2 linked regions of the Arabidopsis thaliana genome follow. The protein of the gene in region 1 interacts with the protein of each later gene in a pairwise test. Each region holds a gene or a part of one and is shown on either strand. Other genes may lie near its edges.

Region 1 (4,330 bases):
CGCTTCTTTGGTTCGGAAACTTACTCCAAGGCTTTATCAAAAATGTAATTGGGTTCGGCTGGCTGATTGAATGTGGGTCCAGACCTAGCCAGGGTACTTGATAAAAATCATCACCACTCTCTGGTTTAGTTGTCACTTGTCAACCACGTTTTTTACATTTTGTGCTTCTCATTGGTTGAGGACCATTATTTGGCTTAGTTTAGTTTAGTTTAGTTTAGTTTAGTTGATGGTGATGAATTTATTATAACTTATATTGGATTCATCGCTGGATCATCGATAATACCAATGGTGCTTCTTAGGTAATGGTTTTTTTTTTTTTAAGATATATCGGTTTAAATTTATTAGCTAAGAACCAGTATCTGTAAAATCAAGATCGCGCACTACAAGAAATTGCTACGGCCAAACAAAACCAATTTCTGACGAGCATTCACATCTTCTCTTCTTTTTAAATTTTGGGCTTAGAAACCACAATTGCTTCCATGCATGGAGCAATTGAGGATCACATTAATACATTAGTTTGAGAACTCCAAATCTATTAGGACCGGAAAACCATAGCATAATCACTTTTTTTTGTGCGAAAAACCATAGCATAATCACATGGCTACTTAAATACTATATTTTTTGTCGGTTAGCCATTACTGTTCTGTTAGTGAATTATAAGAGTTTTAAATGTGATTTATATAGTAAATTCATTGTGCATAGAAAAAAAGGGAATATGCGACTACCATTAGAACAACAACATAGACTTTCTTTAATCTAGCCATCCACTAAACAAGTTACAGTACAAGACATCACCATAGATTTAAAATTACATTAAAAGGGAGAGAAAAAAGAAATCATAATATATGTATGTATAACATGATACGAACATTTAGCATATGTCCTGATCTGTATTTTAACTAACCAAAAGTAATAGAACGATAAATAGAAAGAGGACTAATATAGGAAACGTAAACGACTTTTATTCATGTGGGTCACAAAGGAAGATATATAAGTCTTTAACTAAAACAAATCAAAACTCAGAAATGTCGGACATTTCTCCAATTATACAACTACTACTAGTGAGATGGTCAAACCAAAACTCCATGTCATGGTTATATCCCTTATCGTTTCTATCTAGTGAGCCCTCCCAATTCTCTATCTTTTTCTCATTCTTCTCATTTCCTGAAATGTCACAGTCCATCAATACCACTTCTGACCAAAAGCTCTCATCTATAATTGCAAGAACATCTTCGGATGACGTCGCGGAGTCTTTGTTGCTATTGGAGATGTCATTGTTGTTTCCCAATGTTGTAATTGCTGAAATGTCGGCACTACTACTAGATTGTTGTTGCGGAGAGGTTGGCATCTCCGCAGCTGTAGTAGAGACGAAATCTTCCTTGTTGTTTTGATCTTGACTGTGGTGGAGTCTTTTCTTTAAATGAGTGTGCCAAACATTTTTAATTTCGTTGTCTGTTCGTCCAGGCAATTTTGCAGCTATCGCAGACCATCTACTCAAAACAAATGTCACATGAATGACTCATCAATCATCATAATACGTCGTCTACATTGTTATGAGAACAAAGAGCGAGTAAAACAAAAGGAAAGTTATTGAAGTTCATGCGTATGGTTAAAAGAATTTGCACATGTCTTACACTGATCACAGTGCCTATCTTTGTCTACTAGTGAATAAAAAGTATAATTAGAGGAAAGTAAAAAATTGAAATTATTTAATGGACAAAGGCAATCACGGGTTGGAATCTTCTCAGTTCTCTGCCCCACAAAGATATAAAATTTCGCATATTGACAAAAGCAACACATATACAAAGAGAAAATTGTGAAGTAATCTAGCTAGCTAGTCTCCACAGTTAAAACAAACTAAACTTCCAAAATAATGATACTTTTCACAATTTGATGTCCCAAAATCCTTCATCTACAAATGAACATTATATCATTTTCACTGTAATATATATGGAGTTATGGACTAAACAGAAATTGCATTGACTTACTTTAAAAGAAAGAAAAAAACTTGTGATTTGACTTCTCAAAGATTAAAAATAAAGAAAAATTTGTGAGTGATTTCTCAAATTCTTGTTTAATTTCTGGTTTCAAAGAATATAGGACCAAAAAATCTAAAATTTCGCATATAATCAAAGGAAGAAGTAAAAAAACAGAAAATGGAAAAGGAGGAGAAACCTGTTGCCTAAGAGTTGATGTAAGCTGATGATAGTATCTTCTTCATGAGGAGTGAAATTGCCACGTTTGATGTCTGGTCTCAAATAATTAATCCAACGAAGCCTGCAACTTTTTCCGCACCGAAGTAGCCCTAATCATTTCACAAACACCATTATTAACTTTACACAACAAATATACACTACTATATACTATAGAACAATAATACACATGCTAGCTAGGTACAAAATTATTTTGTTACTAATATATACATATGGCAAATAGCAAATATAAAATGGCTTATTTACCGGCTAGTTTAGGGAGAGCTCTCCAATTGGGATGGCCATGGAGACTAATATAATTGATCAAGATTCGATCTTCTTCAGCACTCCATGGCCCTTTCTTCAATCCTATCTTCTCACAGCATGGTCTTCTCCCCATCTTTTTCTTCCTTGTCAAAAACTAATTTAAACGAGGAGAGAAAGAAGAAATGGAAGAAGCTAAGGTTTCTATTCGTGAAAGCAAAGGAAGCCAAATGTTGGAAGTAACTAGTAAGTGTACGATGGCTAAGTGTGTTACTATATTTATAGAGAGAGATATAATTAATTGGGACCGTAGGAAAATGACAAGCTGGAAATTATTTTTCTACTTTTGGTACACAAAGGCCAAAGTTTTCCCAACTTCTTTTCCTTTACCTTTTTCAAAGAATAGTTATCTTAATTTTTTCATAAGTCTTACCGAGGAAATGCTAAGGCCACGATCTATCAGCTATTGTGATGATTTGATTTTAATAAGCAATGAAGGTGAATTTAGTTTTGTAGTAACGGTATGCGATTATCAATGAGTGTCGAGTGGTTTAGTGTAAACTGATATGACTTGTATATATAACTAGATCATGGAACTAATAGTATAGAGAAACTTTATACAAATAGTTGACAATGTTATACTTCAAACCACACGAATACCTGACAACTACAGAGCACGGCTGTGATTGAGACTATTCATTTATATAACCATAAATGTGTACGAGTAACAGCCACATATTTTTATGTTTTACATCAAATATATGTAAGCTTCAATCTGACCGTAGTTTAAAATTCAATAGAATGGCTAAGACACAAAATTTGAAATTTTATATCGAACACTAGGTTTAATCTTATCACACTTCCCATGAGGGACGCATACCATAAATTTATCAAATAATGGACCACACCAAGAATTATACTAGCAATGTTATCATCGACACATCTCATTTTATAATCGATGACTCGGCTTCACGGCTGTGTAGGCATCGCCATCGCCACACATTCCTTTCGCTCACCGGGTCTTATTCTTTTTCTCAAGATTTTCGTAATCTGAATAAAAAAATAAAAATAAAAACTTCACGAGGATAGAAAATGAAAAGAGAAAACATACAATCTATATAATCTTTCCAAGTGGCCGAAGAAAAGGGTGATGAATCCTCTCGTCAATAAGATCAGTAGGCCCAAAAGAGATATTTCAAATTGAGTCGCATCTGTCGGGTAAGTTAAAGCAATAAATAACCAGCCACAGGTAGGGTTTAGGCCCTCTCATCTGGCTCTAGATGACGAAACGTGTTAAAACGCCTACTTCTTGTTGAGGCCCAAAATAAGCCTCATAGGAGAGAAACCAAAAACGTAACTGTCACGATTACGAAACACCCCTTAATTCCATTTTGCAAATGCATCCCCTCCTCACCTTTGTTTGAGATGTTTTTATATACAGCTCAGCTCGATAACCTAACTCGACACCCTCTAAACAAAAAGTTACAAAACGAATATAATAATGTCTTCGGCTGATCCGGTTTAACTGAATCCCAATTCCCAAATTGTAACATACATAACATGAACTTAACCGGACAAAACTGGTTAGCAGAAATTTTCAAGTGAGTTTACGGAAACACCCTTTTCCGCATAGCTTTTGTGTCACGTGGGACCCAGCTAATATTCTTCACAAAAAATCCGCTACCTTGCCTTGGAAACATATTTTGCATGACCCAACAAACATGAAATTAAGAAATACTTTACTTTACAAGGAAATAATACAAATAAAGCCTTTTTATCTTATTTATAATATCATCGATCATTGTATATCAGAATTCAGAAGTCCTAGATAAAATGTTAAAAGTTGAATCTTGTTTGACCTAATAGAAAAGATT
Region 2 (4,044 bases), on another chromosome or scaffold:
AGGAAGCATTGTTCTCCAGAATAAGACTCTTAATGTTAGTGTTCAAGATGATATCATCTTGTGATTTATCACAATGATTATCGTTTGGATTTTTTTTCTTTTTAATTGAAACAGAGAAACTTTTACAGAATTGTGTATTACATGAATTGAGTTCACAGGATTAGATTTTGAGTAAGTGAAACTATGGAAGATTTGTAAACTCTCACTGTACTTTGTGTTTAGATACTAAAAAGATTTTAGAAGAAAGAGTTTTAAAAGATCTAAGATAACAAGGAATCAAAGAAGTTTTGCTTCTTGATTGTGTAATCACTAGTGTTCAATACCTCCTTAGGCTCCTTTCTTTTGTGCAAATTGCTCACTAGAAAAATTGTTTATCTTGACTTCGTTTGTGGGGGTAGGCCCGGACATAATACCGGAACCCGAAGAACCGAACTGAACTTGACTCGAAATAACCAAACCCGTTCTACTTCGGTTCCGGCTAATTACTTGATCGGGTTCTGTTTTCAAATAACCGTGGGTACCGGAAATTACCCGAACTGAACCCGATACCCGTGGGTACTTTTTATTACCCGAACATATATATACATAGGGCTGCGCATATGGGTAACCCGTTCGGATTCGGGTAAAACCCGTTCGGGTTCGGGTTAAATGGGTAATGGATTTACTACCCAATAGGGTAAAATGAAAATTTTCGATTTCGGTCTAGTTCGGGTACATTCGGGTTCGGGTCGGCTTGGGTAAAGAATTTCAGGCCCTAAGAATAGCCAAACAAATGAAAACGGGTATTTTATGTGTAGATAGCGGGTACCCAACAAAAAAAAAACCTTAAATATTAACAAATTTTAATAATTTAATTAGATTTAGATATATTATACTAAATTTTGACAAACATAACAAATAATTTTTAAATAGTTGGGTATTTAGATCTAAAAGTAATTGATATATTTAGATTTATAATTATAATTTTAGATTATTACATTATATTAAGATTAAATATAATTAATATTTTTGATATTAAATCTATGTTCGGGTATCCTGTTTGGGTAACGGATAAACCCCGGACCGACCTGATACCCACGGGTTTACTAAAACTTTACCCAATGAAGTAATTTCTTAAAACCCTAACCCACCCCAACCCGATTTTTCGGTTCGGGTATCAGGTTCGATATCGGGTCCCGTTTTTTGCCCAGCCCTATATATACATATGAGGATATATATACACTAATAATGTGACTTGTTTAATGATTTGAGTTATGGAACAAGCTTAAAACAAGGTTTACTTCTTGTTTTATATTATTGGCTTAAGGAAAAACTTGTTATAATTTCAGATCTTTCGGGTTTTATGGATATTTTTATGTATGTTTGGGTATATTTGGACAAAGTTTGGGTAAGTAGTACTCAAACCCGAAATAGTTTTGGTTACTTATGGTTTTTTTAACTAATACCTGAATTATCGGACCCGAAGTGAAGCCGAACCGAACCCGACCCGAAATTGTTGATATAACCATACGGATCCAAAATTTCTAAACCCAAAAATTCGAACCCGAAAAATCCGACCCGACCCTGACCCGAATACCACATGCCCAGGGCTATGTTAGGGGAAAAAAAAAAAATACATGTGGGCTTAAATGGGGTTTGAAATTAAAACCGGTCTGAATAGACGGTTCATTAAGAAAACCGGCAATTAAAAACCGAACTTCATAGAGAGTCTTCTTTACGCATTCTCCGTCATTCGGTTAAGTTGCATCGATCGTTAGGGTTTTATCGAGAGAGCAAGGAGAGCGATTTCTCAAATCGACTTTAATGGCTGACGACGATTACAATGAAGTCGATGACTTGGGGTAATCTCTCCCTCTCTGTTTCCTATGTTAGTATCATTTGTACTCGATTTCAGTTGATTCTATCTTCTTCTTCCCGACGAATCGTAAACGATTGAGAACAATTGGATCAATTATTGTCTAGTTTGAGAGTCTATCAACGAGATTCTTTTTTGAAAATTTGCTTATTGTTCTGGCATCGTAGCATTGATTATAATTTCATATTGTTTAGATAGAAAACCCTAATTTCGTTTGAATCTTATACATCGGATTTCAAATTGTTGATGTTATGTGGTGATTTTCAATTGCAGATATGAAGATGAGCCAGCAGAGCCTGAGATCGAAGTAAGTTATTATTTGTAGAAGAGAGATTGACATTGCTTATTATTATTACTAGGCTGATTAGAATGTGTTGGTGTGAGTAGGAAGGAGTAGAGGAAGATGCTGATATCAAGGAGAACGATGATGTTAATGTTGACCCTTTGGAAACAGAAGATAAGGTTGAAACAGAACCTGTGCAACGCCCACGTAAAACCTCTAAGTTTATGACTAAGTATGAACGTGCACGTATCCTCGGCACTCGTGCTTTGCAGATTAGGTCAGCTACTGAGAACAATCTTTGTTGATTAACCGTTTAGTTGGCTCGGAAAGTTTGATTCTATGTACTGTTGTTGGCTGATACAGCATGAATGCTCCTGTTATGGTTGAGTTGGAGGGTGAGACTGATCCACTTGAGGTGTTGCCTTCTTCCTTCTTGTTGTGTTTTTCATGATTTGTCAGTAAATGTTGATATGTATATGAACATTTGTGTTGTTTATTGTATGATTTGGCTTAAGATTGCGATGAAAGAGCTTAGGCAAAGGAAGATTCCATTTACCATTAGACGTTATCTACCTGATATGAGGTGAGATTGCATTAGTTATATCAATACTTTTAGCTCTTCTTTCAAATTTGATATCTTCTTTTCTTGCGACTTACTTATGACTCTGAATCAGTTACGAGGAATGGGGAGTTGATGAACTGATCGTCGAAGACTCGTGGAAACGTCAAGTCGGTGGTGATTGATAAAATCTGGCCTATGTGTTTTGCAAAGCTTTCTGCTCTTGTATGGATTATGAACTTACGATATAGTCGCATGTAGAACTTCTTCATTTGTCCTATTCTCCAACACTACAAGAGTCAGGGACTCCAACAAAAATGCATGAACAACAAATTTTTTGTCCCAAGTTGTTTTTGGACATGGGTTTCGACAAGCCTGCATGTACATATACAAAGAAAGAAAATCCTTCGTGAAACCAAAAGAAGAAAACATCTATAATAGTTTGAGTATTGAGTAAGTACAACTCAATTGATAAACCTTTTCTCTCACACTTCCCAGCTTTTGTCGTCTCACAGAGTCAGATCGATTGATGCATAAATGAGTGATGCTAAAAATCAAAAAGCAAGATTAGAGAAGAATTATGCATGTTGTTTAAAGAAGTTGAGAAATAGTAATGTTAAAAACTATGTGAAGCGCTTGCTCGAGGATTGTTTCAGCAACACTATACAAGTGACTGGACTCAACTACTCACCATAGTCTCGGCCCAACGCAAGGATAGTGTAGCATGTTTCTTGATGAAATACATCTTTCAAACCACCGTTTACACCATCTGGCATGAGAGGAATCGAAGACGTCATGATGAATCTCCAAAATCTGCAGCCACTCTAATACAATGGATCGACAAGCAAATGCGTTTCCAACGCTGGCTTCAAAGTTGAAGTTAATCACTAAATTGTTCATTCTAATTTCTGATTTCAATCTATTTCATATAGAACATATGATACACTAATTGTAACGACGTTATCTTTTTTGAATCTAATTTACCATTTTCCAAAAAAAAAAAAAAAAAAAATGCAGGGATTAGAGAAGAATAATGCATTAAACTCAAAGCAAATAACTGTTAAATAGACCTTGGGATACACAACGTACAAAATAATGCATCTACATATACATTTTTGCAGCCATTTTAACAAATAAATTCTGGACTTTGAACTTATTTACGACTCAATGCCACTGAATTTATGCTAACAGTTAAATCAAATATTTACCTAACAAAAATATTACCTAAAATCTCTCATATATTAACTCCACCATTACTTCAAACGAAATCATTCCTAAAATCTCTCATAAGTATTTATTAATTTTCGGTTTTAATATCCTGTAAAAAAAATCGATTTCAATAAAATG

The links.
Region 2: the proteins of MYB13 (region 1) and NRPB6B interact in binary tests that used the Arabidopsis thaliana proteins (3 or more experiments, as listed by UniProt).

The regions. Positions count from the first base shown.
Region 1 is NC_003070.9:1,887,772-1,892,101, reverse strand, and holds MYB13 (myb domain protein 13), read right to left. Parts: upstream 2,741-4,330; 5' UTR 2,593-2,740; coding exon 2,460-2,592; intron 2,306-2,459; coding exon 2,176-2,305; intron 1,491-2,175; coding exon 1,013-1,490; 3' UTR 826-1,012; downstream 1-825. UniProt on the Arabidopsis thaliana protein: Plays a regulatory role in meristem function. Functions as component of a regulatory network controlling the establishment and/or development of the shoot system by the regulation of apical meristem function. May play a role in tolerance to boric acid.
Region 2 is NC_003071.7:1,618,006-1,622,049, reverse strand, and holds NRPB6B (RNA polymerase Rpb6), read left to right. Parts: upstream 1-1,670; 5' UTR 1,671-1,803; coding exon 1,804-1,841; intron 1,842-2,128; coding exon 2,129-2,162; intron 2,163-2,242; coding exon 2,243-2,415; intron 2,416-2,501; coding exon 2,502-2,553; intron 2,554-2,653; coding exon 2,654-2,721; intron 2,722-2,812; coding exon 2,813-2,882; 3' UTR 2,883-3,259; downstream 3,260-4,044. Other genes in the region: AT2G04650 (ADP-glucose pyrophosphorylase family protein), read left to right, coding at 1-64. UniProt on the Arabidopsis thaliana protein: DNA-dependent RNA polymerase catalyzes the transcription of DNA into RNA using the four ribonucleoside triphosphates as substrates. Component of RNA polymerase II which synthesizes mRNA precursors and many functional non-coding RNAs.